Linked DNA regions of Caenorhabditis elegans. The protein of the gene in region 1 interacts with the protein of each later gene in a biochemical or structural test. Each region holds a gene or a part of one and is shown in the gene's direction. Other genes may lie near its edges.

Region 1 (8,721 bases):
AATTTCTAAAGTAAAATCGAATTGAACGAGTTTCTGCAAAATAAAACACAGATCGTTCTCTCAATATCTTGCGTTTTTTTCCGTTGCTTTTTGAAATCCGATTTCCGTTTTGAATTCTGCTTCGTTGAGCATTTGGACACCCTTTGACGCCTCCTTCCGAGATACTTTTGAACTCAAAAGTGCTCCATGCTCCGTCTATAGTTCGTCTGTTTGAAATTCTTTTGAAAAATAAATATGTCCAAGGATTAGTAGTAATTGCAAAATACGTGTGAACTTGAAAAATCCACAATAGTTGTAGGTAATCATCAGAGATTAAACGGAACTTTGGTATTTCAAAAAAACAATGACCAACCCCTCTTTTCATCAAAAATCCTCATTTTTAATAGAGATTAGTTGTGGAGTCAGCTCAAAAATACAGTTTTTATTAATAATATGTTTTCATTCATTCGGTTTAGATTTTTTTTTTAATTAATCAACGAGAGAGATTACGTTGAGTTATCCAAATTCCCGCCAGTCCATCTGAAGGCACTTCTCCTGGGTTACTATAGTTTTCGCGGCGGGACTTAGAGTATGGAATTTTAAAATAAAGTCGAAAATGTATCACAGAGTGCGTGTATACTATTGAGCAGATTTTTGGGTCTCAAATATCTCAAATAATTTTAATTTTACATATATATGTAGGATATATCCTATTAAGTGAGAACTACTCGTAAAGGCATCTTGATTTTTTTTTGTTGAAAAAATACAGTTCCGTATTTTGAAATGTGATTCTGTTCTTTTTCGGCATATTTGAATGAGGCTGATTTATGTTAAAATAACTTATGAATCATTGTACTGTAATATCCTTTAAAAAAATAACTATTGACTTTTATTTCCTGATTTAGTGCAGAACTATTATTTTCTTTTTTTTAGGATTCAAAGTATCCAGGTATTTTTCATTCAAGATTAATTCATCCAAGTGTAATTTGGGTGATCTCAGCTTTTTCTGTTCAGTTAGAAGTCTAATGGGGTTATTTAAGTAATGTAGAAAAATGTATTTAAATACATTTGTGACGTCACAAATGTATTTAAATACATGTTTTTGTATACTTGGATACATTTGTGACGTAATTGTTCTACACTTTTTAATTTTCCGGCATTACTTGAATAACCACATAATAAAAAACATCCTCATCTCGATGAATAATTTTTTTGATAGACGTTCGCAGGTTCCTTGATATTTTTCTTCCTAATGTTCATTTATTTTGCTCGTCAAAATTTACATGAGCTCATTTTGAGAGAAAAAATGTTATGCCCATTTTTTTTTGCTATACTGCGAATATAATAGAAAATGAATGAAAGTTTTAACAGTTTGTTTGTTCATTTTAATGGTAGATGTTTCAAAAAAGCAATGCTCCAATTATAGGTGAAGTTGTTTTATTAATGTTTTATTGCTTTAAAAATGTAAAATAGTTCCAAAACTTTTGAAAAATGTTCACACATGTGTTAAATATGAGTGTAATTGAATAAAAATGTACGAATACGGCTGACCAAAATTGAATATTTTCGGCAAGTCATCTTTTTTTCAAAATTTCAAAGTGCCACAAGTTTTGAAAAAATTTAGGAAGTCGCATAAAATTTGGGTTATCCTGAGTCTTTTGAAGATTTTCATATAAAGCGTTATTTCAGTTTGAGCTATTTATAGCAAAAACTTTAAAAACTTGGAAACAATCATTCTCACTTCCCTGTATTTATTGACAGTCCTTTATTATCCAAAAAATGTAGACTAGTAAATATGTGTGAAATTTATGATGTATTATGATGATTCACTTTCAAAGAATGAAAACTTTCAAACTCCTCAAAGGTGTTGCAAAGATCTAGAAAATTCAAAAATCCGACGAGCCGTCCTCACCATAAGAAAATTCGGTTTGAGGACCTCTATTTTGAAAACAATACATTCTAGTATTGTCAAAAGCATACAGGTCAAAGCTTCTTTCTACCACTCCCACATGCTTCTCTTTCATCGGTTGAAGTTCAGTTTCATCGTCTCTTTTGTCTAAACGTCTTAATAATTTAAGAACCTACGTAGAGCCTCAAAGTCTTGACACTCCCAATTTTTGTCTCTTTCATTCATTCATAATATTTTCTTCCGGTTACAGCTTGGATGTTCAGTATTTGAAAATGACTTTTATTTTTTTGTTTTTCAGAGTTTTAGGCTATAATTCAAGATTATGGGCTTGCAAGGAAATTGACAAAGAGCAAAGATTCTCTAATTTGTAGCTTTTTTCCTACATCTTCAATCATAATTTTTCCGTTACCCTAACGTGTGAGCTCATCATTTAGTCAGCCTGGCAGAAGAAGCATGCTGAATAAGAAGTTAGGAAATAAAATATGCTTGTTTTGTGTTATGATATCATTTAGGATTCAATATAACATAGTTTGTCTACCGATTCCTATTTCAAATTGAATTTATTACTTTCTGATTCAATACAAAAATTCTGATTTGTTACAATTTCTTGTTTTATTGACCTGGATTTTCTGACGCATTGGAAATATAATTTGCGGTGGATATATTTAAAAATTCTAAAATTAAACTCTAAAAATATATGGGCATTATCTTTTTGAAATTTGCCCACTTTCTTTAAAAATATCATAGAGTTTGCAAACAAATTTTTAGACCCTTAAATATTAAAATAGGAAAATTGAATGTATGTGTATAAACAAAGACTACGTGCCAAGTTTCGTCGAAACAACTCAAAATAGCTCGTCGAAACAACTCAAAATAGCTTGCATGAATTGTTTCAAAATTTTAAATACTTTTGCTGTAGTCTGACTTTTTAAGTTTTTAAACTCGTGAAGGTAATGACTATTATGATTCATTCGATGACTTTTCAACCTGATTATTCCTTTCTAATTTTAGTTCGTTGATTTCTCTGAACTTTTGTGCACATTTATTTCCCAATTCCCTAATTGCTCTTGACGCATATCTTCTTTTTTAGTTCACTGACCAGTCACTCATTTTTCTTACGAAAAAATCTCATACTTTGTAAACCAATTGTTTTGTTGCCTTAAAGTATTTTATCTCTTCCTAGAATAATTTAGAGATACTTCCCGAGAAAAGCTATTCTGCTGATTAGCTTATTTGATCGTCTTTTTTTTGGGTCTGATGAATGGAACATCCGAACGTCTTTAACAAACTGAAGTCATTCGAAATTTGAGTGAATATATTTTAATATATGATCTACGTCACAAAAAGATGATAAATATCTTATTTTTTCATGATTACTTCAAGTTGAAAATATATTTATCATAGAAAATGAAAAATGAGTTTACGAAAAAATTTAAAAATTTAATGACATCTGTGAGGAATGTGGAATTTTAAAATAAAATATGCTGGAAAAGGATTATATTATTGGAAACGCTGGAGTTCCTAAAAATGAAAATTCTTGGAGAATGAGTGTCAAAAACAATAAGTCTACTTTGTTTCTGATCTTCGTTATCCGTTAGTCAGTTCCCATTTCCTTCTTGTTTCTTTTTGCCATTAGTAATTCGTGGACAAGAGCACCCCGCCTTCCTTCCTGCTTTCCTTTTCTTTTTTAAGAGCATCTCCATCAAATCCTAAAATCGCTACTCTGATCGTTGCATTTGATTAAAGAATTTTCTCACTTACCTCAATACAAACATTCGATAGATCTTGATTTCCTTTTTTTCTATCTTTGATTTTTAATTTCAAATCGGAACGTTTTCAATTTCAGAGAAACGAATTTGTGAGAATTTGAAGATTCACTACAGAGCTATCAAAATGACTTCGAATCGTGCCATTTTAAGGGTATGTTTTTATAGTTTATTGAATAATAATTTACATTATGAGGCATTTTATACACTTTTAAGTTTTTGTTGCTTGATTTTTGCAGCTGTTACCTTTTTCTCAAGAAATTGAAAAGTATTTTTAAACATTCAACAAAAATTGTGTTCAGTTCCTACTCTACAATTACGTTTGCCTTTTGCACCGCATAGCATTTTCCATACTCAGTTAGAAACCTACATTTTGTTGTAAATTTATATTTCAAAAATTCATTCTCATTACATGTGAAACGTTTATGATCTTTTTTAGTCATGTAAACACGAAAACTATTAATTTTTAATTTTTAGTTATAAAAACCTTGTGTTTGTGACACAAAATCCCAAATTAAGGAACATGCGGGTAGTAAAAGGTGCGAATGCCCGGGAATTTTTTCCGTTGTCACGCTCCTTGTGCTGACTAGATAAAAAAGGCAAACCATACTTTTTCTCGCGGTGAGACCCATTTGAACATACCCATGCGCATTCAAGGCGACGTTTCAGAAAACTGTGAAATAGCCATAATAGTGCTGACAAACCGTCAGAGTTTCCTTTTTCAAATTGATCTCCAGAAATGGCGCTAAGCTTCCATGTTGATTTTATCCATCTGCATTGTACAGAAAAGCGTGTGACGTAACAATCTTTGATGAAGATTAAAATGTGAGGGGAAACTGACTCAGAGGTCAGAGTTTAAAATGGTCTGCAATCAACTATTCTACGATTCTACATTCTCAGCAAATTCCGTCCGCAGACTACACATGAAGTCTGTGGATTTGGCCCAGACTATTAAATACGTTTTTACATTGTAGAATTATCCCCAATATACCTTTTGATTTGATTTTGATCTTTTGTGCTTTGAACTCATCTCTACCATTATTTGCACACAATCCTTCCTTTTTCTAGACCCTTCTTTTTCTCAATTCATGAAATTTGAGTCCTGACATCCTATTCTTGCACCAGGAAGAAGCCTTTCTTTATTTTGTTTCCAAAAGTTGGCAGCAGGAAGGTGAAAGCTCAAAATGAAGAAAGGATTAACCTCTTCAAATGTCCAAGTGTATCTTAGTGGTAGATCACAAATCCAATACTACCGAAGGTTGTCCTTGGTTTCCTTCCGGATCACGTGTGCATTGACATTCACCATTTTTTGAGGAGAGAATACGGAAGGAAAATGACTTCCTAGCAGAAAATTTGCTCGTTTATTTTTTTTGCCACCGAATTGAAGGAATGTTCTCCTAAAATAGAAGGGAGGGAAAAAGTGGTAACGAGATGAGCAACTGTTAAGCAAAGCGAACAAATTGGAAAGATTATGGACCACAGTGATCATTTTCATGGTCTTTATTCTTTTTGTTGTGTCGGAAGTAAACTATGAAAAGTTCAGTTCAGTCCGAAAAGGTCAGTGGTAAATTTTGGATTTCAAAGTTTTCTACCACATTCTTAAATCAATTTTGGAATGTTTAATAATAGTTCAAAATCAAGACAATTGATATAGTCACTTTTCAAAAAATCAAAGAACTTCGGAACCAATAAGTCTTCTAATGATCGAAAAAGCTTTTTGGTCGTTATAGGTCATTCTTTTTTCTTGTTTTAATTAATTCAACGAATTCAACGAACACCAGAAAACGTTATAGGAAAAAAGAAAACAAAATATAGAATAAATTATGTAAGTAGTTTTTAAGTGAAGTTCTCTTTTAGTAATTCATTTAATTTTTTTTTATTTTAAATAATATTTAATTAATTAAAATTTCCTAATTCTTGAAAAAACGACACATTATTTTCATACAGAACATGTGTTTTTTTTGAACTTTCATCGAAGCTATAAGTCACAAAATATTAATAAAATTAACTCGAGAAGTCTGGTCACCCACTTCAAAATGCCATGGAATCGAAAAGTTTCTCGCTGAAAACTCCGTGAAAAACCTATTTTTATTTTGAATTAGACACTCGACACTTTCCATTTAAATGTTTTTCTAACCTGTCTTAGAGTTGCAGGTGAATATAATATGTTTCTAGTTTTCAATTTTTCATTTCCTTACACGTACACTCACTACCAAAAATTTCACCTGTATCGACGACATGGTGTTGTGTCGCGCGCATTTGTTCCAGATTGCATTGATTCGATTTCCTTTTTTTTGACCGCGTAAATTTAGTTTGAATATTTCTCAAATCTTCAACTGTACTTTTCTCACTTCATTCATTCGTACATGTTTGTATCATTGTGACGTGACAAACGACAAGCAATTAGGTACAACTTTCTCGTTTTTCCTCTTTTTTTTCGTACCAAATCTCATAGATCAAATGAGCATGAAGGCATTTTTTAAAAAGAATATGAGCGTAATTAAGGGATACATCACAACAAGTCGTTTTGAGAAATTGATCAGGAAATTGTGGTGGAAAATGTATTAGGCTCATACCAAAACTCAAAGATTTCCATAAGGTAAAATTTTTTTGTCGAAATGTATAGATGTTGAGGGATGTGCAAAAATAGATTAAAAATCGTCACGAATTTTAATCTCATCTAAATCTTCTGATCCCATGCGTATCAGACATCCATTATTCAGCGGGGGAGCTGATCTTACGAGCATTTAATAAAGACAAAAAAGTTTGAAGTTTGAAGATTATAATGTTTTACTCCAAAATTAGAATAGCTTGGACGCATATACCTTCTTTCTCTCTTTTTTAAAATTTTAATCTCTCCCTACTATAAGCTTAAGAGCTTAGAGGCGCATTCTAGTAAAATGATTTACTGTAGAATATTGAAAGCTTACGAGCCTATCCCAAATTTTCTAATGTTTCTTCCAACTTTCTGAAGTTAATGTGAGATTTGTTCACCTCATAATACATTTTTAACGTTAAAAAACGCGTTGAATGAGCTATAAAAAGACTTAAAAGTTGAGATCTGCACGTAAACTTTCTACAGTAATCTAATATGGTGCATTAGCAATTTCTTAATAAACAAATGAATTATAATTATAAAAATAAACAAGTTTCCTGTGAAACTGGCCCCAAGGGGTAAAAAATACTTCCGTTTCTAAAATTACTGTTTTCTAGTACATCAACTATCACTTAAAAGCAAAACCTAGGTCCTGGCCGGGTTCGAACCGGCGATCTTCTGCGTGTAAAGCAGACGTGATAACCACTACACCACAGGACCGCGTGTCCTGAACATTGCCGGGTAGTGGTTTCCATCGGAAACAGAGAAAAACGGAAAATGTTTATTTTGCAAGTGCCAGTCTAGTGGAAACATAACTTCAGTGTACTCTTATGTTTATAGAATACTTGTAAAAGTCTTCCCCTTTTTTTCAATTTCTTTTTCAATTAAAAAAAAAGTCTTCCAAAAGCTTCCGCTAAAAGATCCCATCGCTTTCAAATCTGTGAAATCTTGCTCATAACAGCATCCCATTTATTCAAAGAGACCGAAAAAAACCAGCAAAACTAATTACGCCGCATTTACATTCAAAGGATCTTATGTGGATTCTTGTGTTCATTTTTTCCGGGACTTGTGTGTTCACATACATCTATTTCTTTTCTTTAAACAAAACCAAGAAAACCAAGTGCTGATTAATTCACTGTGTTATGAAGCATTATTTTAATATGTTTCCGTATCTCTTTTTCCAAGAACTTCTTCGCATTTTCAATTTTTCTAGTTCAATATGTGTGTCCTGATTTCAAGAAGATTTTAACTCCTCAACCATAAATTGGAATAGGTGACATGGGATTCAAGATTTCAAATATATATTGTTTTATGAATTCTGGGAACATTGCAGCAAAAACAAAAAATTGTATAAGGAGACATAGTTATAGGAAAAAGTTTAATTTCCAAGTAGATGTGCGATATGTGGGAGTTTACGAAAATACTAATATCTATTTAGCTTACAATTTATTCCAAAGAGATGCACTCCGAATAGTGTTCGCTTCTTAACGATATGTGATTTTTCATATTTCTGTATAGACATTCAACGGGTGGAGCAATTTATGACATCCATCTTCCCATTCCCTCGCCCGTCAGCATTCGCGCCCATCAAACGCCTTAATAAAAAACTCGAACAACAACGGAAAAAAGAAAGCGTTCCAAAATTGCATCAAACAAAAAAATATGCAAAAGGATTTTTGCAGATATTGGGGAATGTTAGAAAGTAGAATGTTAAAGACGTTTGATAAAGTTTCAAAATGGACTGCAAGTATTAATTTAAAACTTTCTTAATTTTCTCGAATTTTAGCGAATTTAAAATTTACTAATTAACAGCTTTAGAAGCCCACTCGCAAATAAGAAGTTATTCCATTAGATTTAAAGTATCGACTCAAATTCATAAATTCTGATCCCTTTTCCTGAAGATATCCGACACATGTTCCTATGAGTATTCTGTTTTTGTGTATTCCTCAAGAAGGCCCTCAAAAATTCTGAAATTCTGACAATTTATAATCTACTTTTGGTCGTATCGCCCCGCTTTCGTTTTACGACAAGTTGTAAAGCATTTTATTTTAAATTGAGACGCGTTTTTATTGTTCGTTTAGTTTTGAACTTCTGCAATTTACATTTTCAATAACTTCAGTTGAACAAAATACAGACGTTTCAGTTTGTAACTTGCAAAAAAACATAGAATCACTTTTATCTTTTTTCTATATTTGAGGTCTAAAATACGGAGACTGAAAACCGCGATCTATAAAAAGATGAGGCAAAGAAAATGTGGAATTTTAAATCAACCAAGACGCCTTGGAGGTCCATCTCTTCAAATTTCTTAGTCATTGTCTATGGATATTCATTTGACATTAATTTTTTTGGAATTATTTTTTTTTCATTTCCTCACAAGAAGAGTCTCAAAATGCACGAATTCTGGAAGAATTCACTGAAAAATGATTTTTGAATTTAAGAGATTTTGAGAGATTGGAGCTTCTGAAGTTGAG
Region 2 (6,894 bases), on another chromosome or scaffold:
GGATGCGATGACGTGCGTCGTCCTCGCTCGTCTCTTCTACGATCGATAGGTGTTCCCAGTAACCTGCATTCTTTCCACTGCAACTAGTGGAACCCGTGAGGTGTCCGTACATCCAGAAGATGACCTCCCTTCATATTGTTGTCCCACTATCTGCCAGGGTGCTGCGAAAGCGTATCTCTGGCCTGGCGGAGGGCCAGCTAACTCTCTCCCTCAAGCCTTCGGGAGCTTCCTGTGTCATCGGTAAATTTTGGGGTCTATCAGGGTCCTGCGAAAGCGAATCTCTGGCCTGGCAGAGGGCCAGCTAACTCTCTCCCTCAAGCCTTCGGGTGCTTCCTGGGTAATCGGTGAATTTTGGGCGGTCGTTGTTGGGTACCGCATGTTTTCGACCCTCGCTAAGTGTGAGGGAGCCGGGTAAAACCGCACGTTCGAATGGTCTCTAACCCAACTCTCCAGTCTTCTTTCATTTAGGAATCGAAGGAAGACTGGAGGTCTGCCTAGGGTAGGCTAAGCTTGCCTAGGGTAGGCTAGGTTTGCCTGGGGTAGGCAAACGGTTTGCCTGGGGCAGGCTAGGGCTGCCTAGGGTAGGCTAGGTCTGCCTAGGGTAGGCTACGTCTGTCTAGGGTAGGCTACGTCTGTCTAGGGTAGGCTACGTCTGCCTAGGGTAGGCTAGGTCTGCCTAGGGTAGGCTAGGGCTGCTTAGGTCTGCCTAGGGTAGGCTAGGTCTGCCTAGGGTGGGCTAGGTTTGCCTAGGGTAGGCTAGGGCTGCTTAGGGTTGCCTAGGGTAGCCCTCCGCCTCCCGCATCTCTCTAGGGTCTGGGGTAGGGCTGTCTAGGGTAGGCTGGGGTCTGGGTAAGGGCTGTCTAGAGTAGGCTGGGGTCTGGGTAAGGGCTGTCTAGGGTAGGCTAGGGTCTGGGGTAGGGCTGTCTAGGCTATGGGATAGGGCTGTCTAGGGTCGGCTGGGGTAGTGCCTTCTAGGGTAGGCTAGGGTCTGGGGTAGGGTTGTCTAGGCTCTGGGCAGGACTGTCTAGGGTAGGCTAGTTTTATTGTTTAATTGCTTTCAGTACGTTTTTTTGTTTCTGTTATCAAGTGAATTGTTTTTACTTACTTGATAACCCACAAAATTAGTGAAAATCTTGCTGAATGAACAAAAAAATCTGAAATTGATAAAGTTAGCCGCATTAGCCGAATTTCAGCCGACCGGCTAACTCGGCTAATATTTCTCTAAAATGAGCAGTTTTCCAGGTTGATCAAGCTCTTCGTGATGGAGTTCGCAGCAATGAGTGCTCAAATGGAGTCTGCATGAAAATGATTTTCCAGGAAAAAAGCGGTGAGATAGATCAAAATTAATTGTTTATTTTATTTTCTTTTTACTTATTTTAGGAATCAATCATGTTTGGAGAAGTTGCATACCAAATGCAAAAGAACAAATCCGATCAGACTGTACAAAAATTACTAGTGGAGAAGGTATGTAATATTCAAATTGTTCCATATAATAAAAAAAAAATATATATATAACTTTCAGGAAACCTTGAAGTTTGCACATGCGATGGTAATTTATGCAACAATGACGTCAATTTAAATCTAATACTAATAATTATGTTTTCTGCAGCTGTGTTATTATTATGATGAGTTGTTCATTAAACCTACATATCGGAATCAAATCAAACTTAGATCTCTATTCTTTTCATTTTCCATCGGTTTTATATAGAACTTTTGCCGAAGTATTTTGATTGCATACCAAATAAATGTTTTTACGTTGTTGGAAATGTTTATTAAAATTTAAAGGAACACAGAATAGCCAAAGTGTTTTTAATTTCCAAATTTTTTTTTACTCCTCGAACAGTACCCTTGAACTTCAGCTCGCTATTTTGAATATTCCTGTCACGAAGTCGGTGAATACAAAGATTCACTCGCTCACGACTTATTAATAAATCTAAGGATTTATTAACAAATGATTAAATGTAAAGATTGATTCATTGTTATTACGTAACACTTGCTCTTCAACACTCAACATCATCTCTTCAATCAACGGCAACAACCATGCAGAAGGACGGCGTCAGAAACCCCGATTCAAACTACCGCCAAAAGGACGATTCAAGGCGCATGAGGTCTCGCCACGACACATACAACAACGACTGCGACCGTACTCTTGTCATCATGGCGCAGCGCACATTGGCCTATATCGTCAGTCTTCATCGGTCTTCACCACCGCAGCACGTGCCCGACGGTGGCACGTTTAAATGAATGTTGAGTGTTAGTGATTCAAGGTTTTCCCCTTGAATCACTCGTAATAAATGAGTTAATTAAATAAGAGTCTTTTGTTAGTTCCTATCAGTACCTCATGGGCCGGAAACCACTCCGAAACAATTCCCATAATTTTATTGTTTTCCATTTTCCAGGAAAAAAAACAGTTCTTTGACATTTTCAAGCCAAAAACTATGTGTGTTCCGTCTTAAGACCATGCATTGGAAATTACGTTCGTCACTATTTTTGTGTGTATGTGTTTTGGATTCCTCTTCTCACATTTGCGGTCACAACAGTATCGTTCATCGGTTTTTATGTTGTGATAAAATAGAGAAAAAGTAAAACGAGCATATTTTTGATAGCGGAAGAAAAATTTTGAGATTACATATAACAAAGCGGAAAGTGATTATCAAATGTCAAATTATCAAATAATTTGGAAGCTTTTCAATTCAATATACAGGGTTGATTTTCAATAGGTGGTGCAAGTAAAAAAGAAATACTGTATTTATATTTAAAGATAAATACATTTTGTTTAAACACGTAAATATTGTTTCAAGCTGGCCGCATATCAAAATAAAACCGTACAAAAACTTTCCAGTTTTTCTTAATTTTCAGTCAAGGTTTTAGTAAAATAGCGAGGCGACGAAAATATATAACTTTCCGAGAAGTTCAGAGCAGTTAATAATTATTATCAACTTTTTACAGAATGGTTTACATTTTTTCAACATTAATTATAGTTAAAGGACAATACATTTTTCAAAATATTCACTGTAAATATGAATGAATACTTTTGGAAAATAATCAAAAAGCTGACTGACTACTGTTAAACAATGGCGGAGTGATAAACTAGCAAATTCACTTATTATGCACATAATTATAATGCAGGATAAGATGACTGACTTTCAAGACATTCACTATTTAATGATTAGACTTCCATTTTTGACCATCCCATTTTGACATAAGAACTCCTTGATATTTTGTTCTCTTTGAAAAGTCTTGTTTTACTCTACTTTAAATGAATTCATTTTCGTCATGGACGATCTCTTCAAAAAGTATGTGGGCACCTTTACTTTGAATACACGCAATCTTCACCGTAGTTTCATGTTGCTCGAATGAATATTCAATGATTGGAGGGCAAGATTTATGAAGAGATTGCCGTGAAATCATTTTGCGAGGCGAATCATCGAGGAAGCAACTGATTCGTGATGAATAATTTGCGCGGTGGATAAGTTTTTGGTTTCAAAGTACCCCCCCCCCCCCCCCCCGAGAAGAGGTGGAAAAAAGTTGAAGAATTAGATGAAGGAGAAGTCCAAGTGTTACGTCAACAATTTACAAATGCATAGAGTTGGTATAATTAGTTTCGGAGGGTGTCGGTGGCTAAATTTATCTGTTAGTTACCTCCCAGCATGAATTCCGTGTATTCACTGTGTTCAGTCCCTCGACTGCTCGGTTATACAGCTGATAGATAGACGAGGAAGAAGAAAACACACAAAAACGTAAAGTGGGCCTCTTTAAAAAAATTTAAAAAACAAAATAAGGACACAAAAATATAAATATGCATTGTTTTCATTTTTCAAAACGAGGGTAGCTTCGAGAAATTTCCATTTTCAAATCAAACGAATTGCTACAACAATGTCAAAATGTTAAAATTTTTCTTGGTGGTACTGTATGACTCTAAAGTTTGATCTGGAAAAATTTGTTTTTTCGTAGATAACGTTTCTTACCTAAAAAGCGGTTTTTAACCTGATAGTTGAGATAACCTGGTTTATACAATAAATTTTCAAATGAGATAATTTTTAATAACTTTAAAAAAAAATTTTTTTATATCGTTGGTTTTCGAAACTTGATTTTCAGCAAATTTTTAAAATTTGAATCAACTTGCTCTCAAAGACACGTTTATTGTCTTACGACTTTTAAAACCGGAGTAAATTTAATTTTTCGATGAATCAATTTCAGATAAATCTCAGAACAAGCACTTTACTGTTTCTTACTTGTTTTATGCAATTTACCATTTCAAGTTTTCTATGCCCCCGCGTTCTTTTACCAAACGCCTTCCAGTGGACACTCTAGAATTTCTTCAGCACAAGAAGGCGTGGCCTCTGAAAAGGCGGAGCAAAGTGCGCGGAGCCCAAGTTAGTGGAGAAGACGGACCAGTATATAAGCCACGAGCAGTGCTCAGTCCACACTTTTCAAGTAGAAAATGCTCTCCGGAGTCCTTTTTTCTATTTTTGTACTCGCCATATCGGCCAACGCTAGCTGTGATGTGTCCGCACTGACCACCGAGAATGAGAAGGAACTCGGACTCCGGATTTGCCATCTTGAGGTATGTTGATCATTTTTTTTAGTTTCCAAAGTGGTTTTTTATTCCTGTAAAATCTAAAATGTTTTGCAGGCGGAGATGCAAGTCGTCCAAAGAGCCTTGCAGGAGGTGATGCAGCAGACAGATGTCACACTGTACGATCAAGAAGTTCCGGTGATGAACAAGCGTAAAAACGAGTTTATCCGATTTGGAAAACGCAGTGACGGGTTAGTACATATTTGGTATTTGTCGGTCATTTCAAATATCATTTCTTTCTCAGAATGGAAAAACGAAAGAACGAGTTCATCCGGTTTGGAAAGAGAAAAAATGAGTTCATCCGATTCGGAAGATCCGATAAGGGACTTGGACTCGACGACAACGACGTTTCCAGTGAGTTTTTCGGTTACACCTCTGATGTATTTTATCTGTAAGTGGTTTTGCAGTGGAGAAACGAAAGAACGAATTCATTCGATTCGGGTGATTCGCGTTCAGAGATGGATGTGTGCTTCTTGATGATTTGGGCCAAATTGTGTTCTATACTGATAATGTTTTGTTAGATTTCTTATTCTCCATGCTAATTTTTTTTCTTTTATCTCTGCAAAACGTCAGTTAGAATAAACTTTCATTGTTTTTCTGGTTTTTTTTTCTTTTTTTTTCCATCTTATCTCAATTTTCACAAGACTTGGATATTCACAGGCTTGATGTATGAATTGCATAATATGTCCCAGCCGAATGACCAAATCCGTTTTTTTTCTTTGTATGACCACTCATCGTATTCAAATTTGCTTACAAGTACGCATGATCCCCCTGCGGGCGCGCGCATCAAACAGACGTAAGACCGGTTTTCGAGGAAAAACTGTGTATATCTTTCTATCCGAAATCCTGTGTCATTGAAATATTTCACAATTTGGATACAATTTTCTCGGCCCAAACATGTTGTATAGTCAGTGAGAAGAAGAAAAGTAAATTTTTTGTTGAAATGAGACAACATATTTCATGTTTCGCTAGGCTACGAGAACGTGGGACACTTGTGATTTTTTTTTGCTTGACAAATGATGGGGCCAAGCGATTTCAAGAAGTCTAAACAAGATAATTTTGGCGTCATAGTTTTTGATAGAAGATTTTTTGAAAATTAGAATCAAGATGGTTCTATTGCAGTACATTCAAAAATAGGAGTGGGCTTCAGCCGAGTTTCACGATTGATAGTTCAAGAATTTTCTCTAAATTAAAACACATAACTATACTTTCAGTTCCCACTAAACTGAAATTCTCAATGCTTCAAAACTGCTTACCGTTTTCTACTAAGTTCTTGATAGCTCAGTCGGTAGTGGTGGTCGCTAGCAATCTGGAGGTCACGAGTTCAAGTCCGGCCTCACTCCCTAGGTTCACCCAGCCTCCATTGGCAAGGTGAGCAATCCATAACTGGATTTTCCGCCACAGTCTCCGGCTAGGACGTGGCTTAAATTATAGCCCAGTAGGAGCACCATCAGGCAGTGTACCTGGCTCCTAGATCCGCAGTGCATCGCACTTGAAGAAGGGATCGTCTTTTAATCCTTTAATCCTTTTTTATACCTTAAAACTTTATTTTTACTATCTGCAAAGTAAGTTCATCTCAGATTTTCTAATTAAAAAACCCCTGCTTCGTTGTCGTAATAATGCGTCATCTCAAAGTTATTGAAATTCCGCCACTTTTCTTCTGGATCTCACTTTCCACGGATAAAAAAGAAAGCCGAAACTTTCTTATTCTCATGCCTCGTCACCTCCGAAACTAGTCCGATGACTCAATAATTCGGTGAAGAATGGCTTGCCATAATAAAAAAAAATTGGGCGATATAGTCAACGGCAAAATTTAAATTCAAGGTGTATACTTTAAGCAGAAATACTTGGTCAGTGCAAATTAATTTTCAGTTCACTAAAAATTAGTCAAGCGGAATCTGGTAAACAATTAGGAAAACAAACACTTGAGGACGGAAGATTATCCCTGAAATACTTTTCTTTTATATTGTTGTAAAAATTCTCAAGACGCTTCGAAGAATTTCGGAAATGTTCGCAACACAGGATAAACGAGATGTTGACCAGCTGTGGTGGAGGTATGGGCTATTGCCATTAGTCGCACTTTAGTCGATGATGATGGCAGACAATTACCGTCCTATTGACAGCTAGTTTCTACTGCCCGCCGCTACCGTCACCACGTAATCTGGCCACGCTATTGCTTCTGCACACGATTTTTCTCTCGGAGGAGGAGGAGGAGGAGGAGGACAACTATTTTTTCGTTACTGCTTTATGTTTTGCGAGTTTTACGATTGATCTAAACTTTTCGATTCTTTTTGTTAAATTTTACGAGAAATATA

Evidence for each region.
Region 2: the proteins of frpr-15 (region 1) and flp-8 interact in a test that uses a peptide from one of them, tested with the Caenorhabditis elegans proteins (one large-scale study listed by BioGRID).

The regions. Positions count from the first base shown.
Region 1 is NC_003283.11:12,676,454-12,685,174, forward strand, and holds the start of frpr-15 (G-protein coupled receptors family 1 profile domain-containing protein), read left to right. Parts: upstream 1-3,653; 5' UTR 3,654-3,781; coding exon 3,782-3,808; intron 3,809-6,889; exon of another isoform or gene 6,890-6,971; intron 6,972-8,721.
Region 2 is NC_003284.9:14,877,094-14,883,987, forward strand, and holds flp-8 (FMRF-Like Peptide), read left to right. Parts: upstream 1-4,325; 5' UTR 4,326-4,444; coding exon 4,445-4,567; intron 4,568-4,636; coding exon 4,637-4,770; intron 4,771-4,823; coding exon 4,824-4,974; downstream 4,975-6,894. Other genes in the region: sssh-1 (UPAR/Ly6 domain-containing protein qvr), read left to right, coding at 1,243-1,327, 1,381-1,464, 1,523-1,626.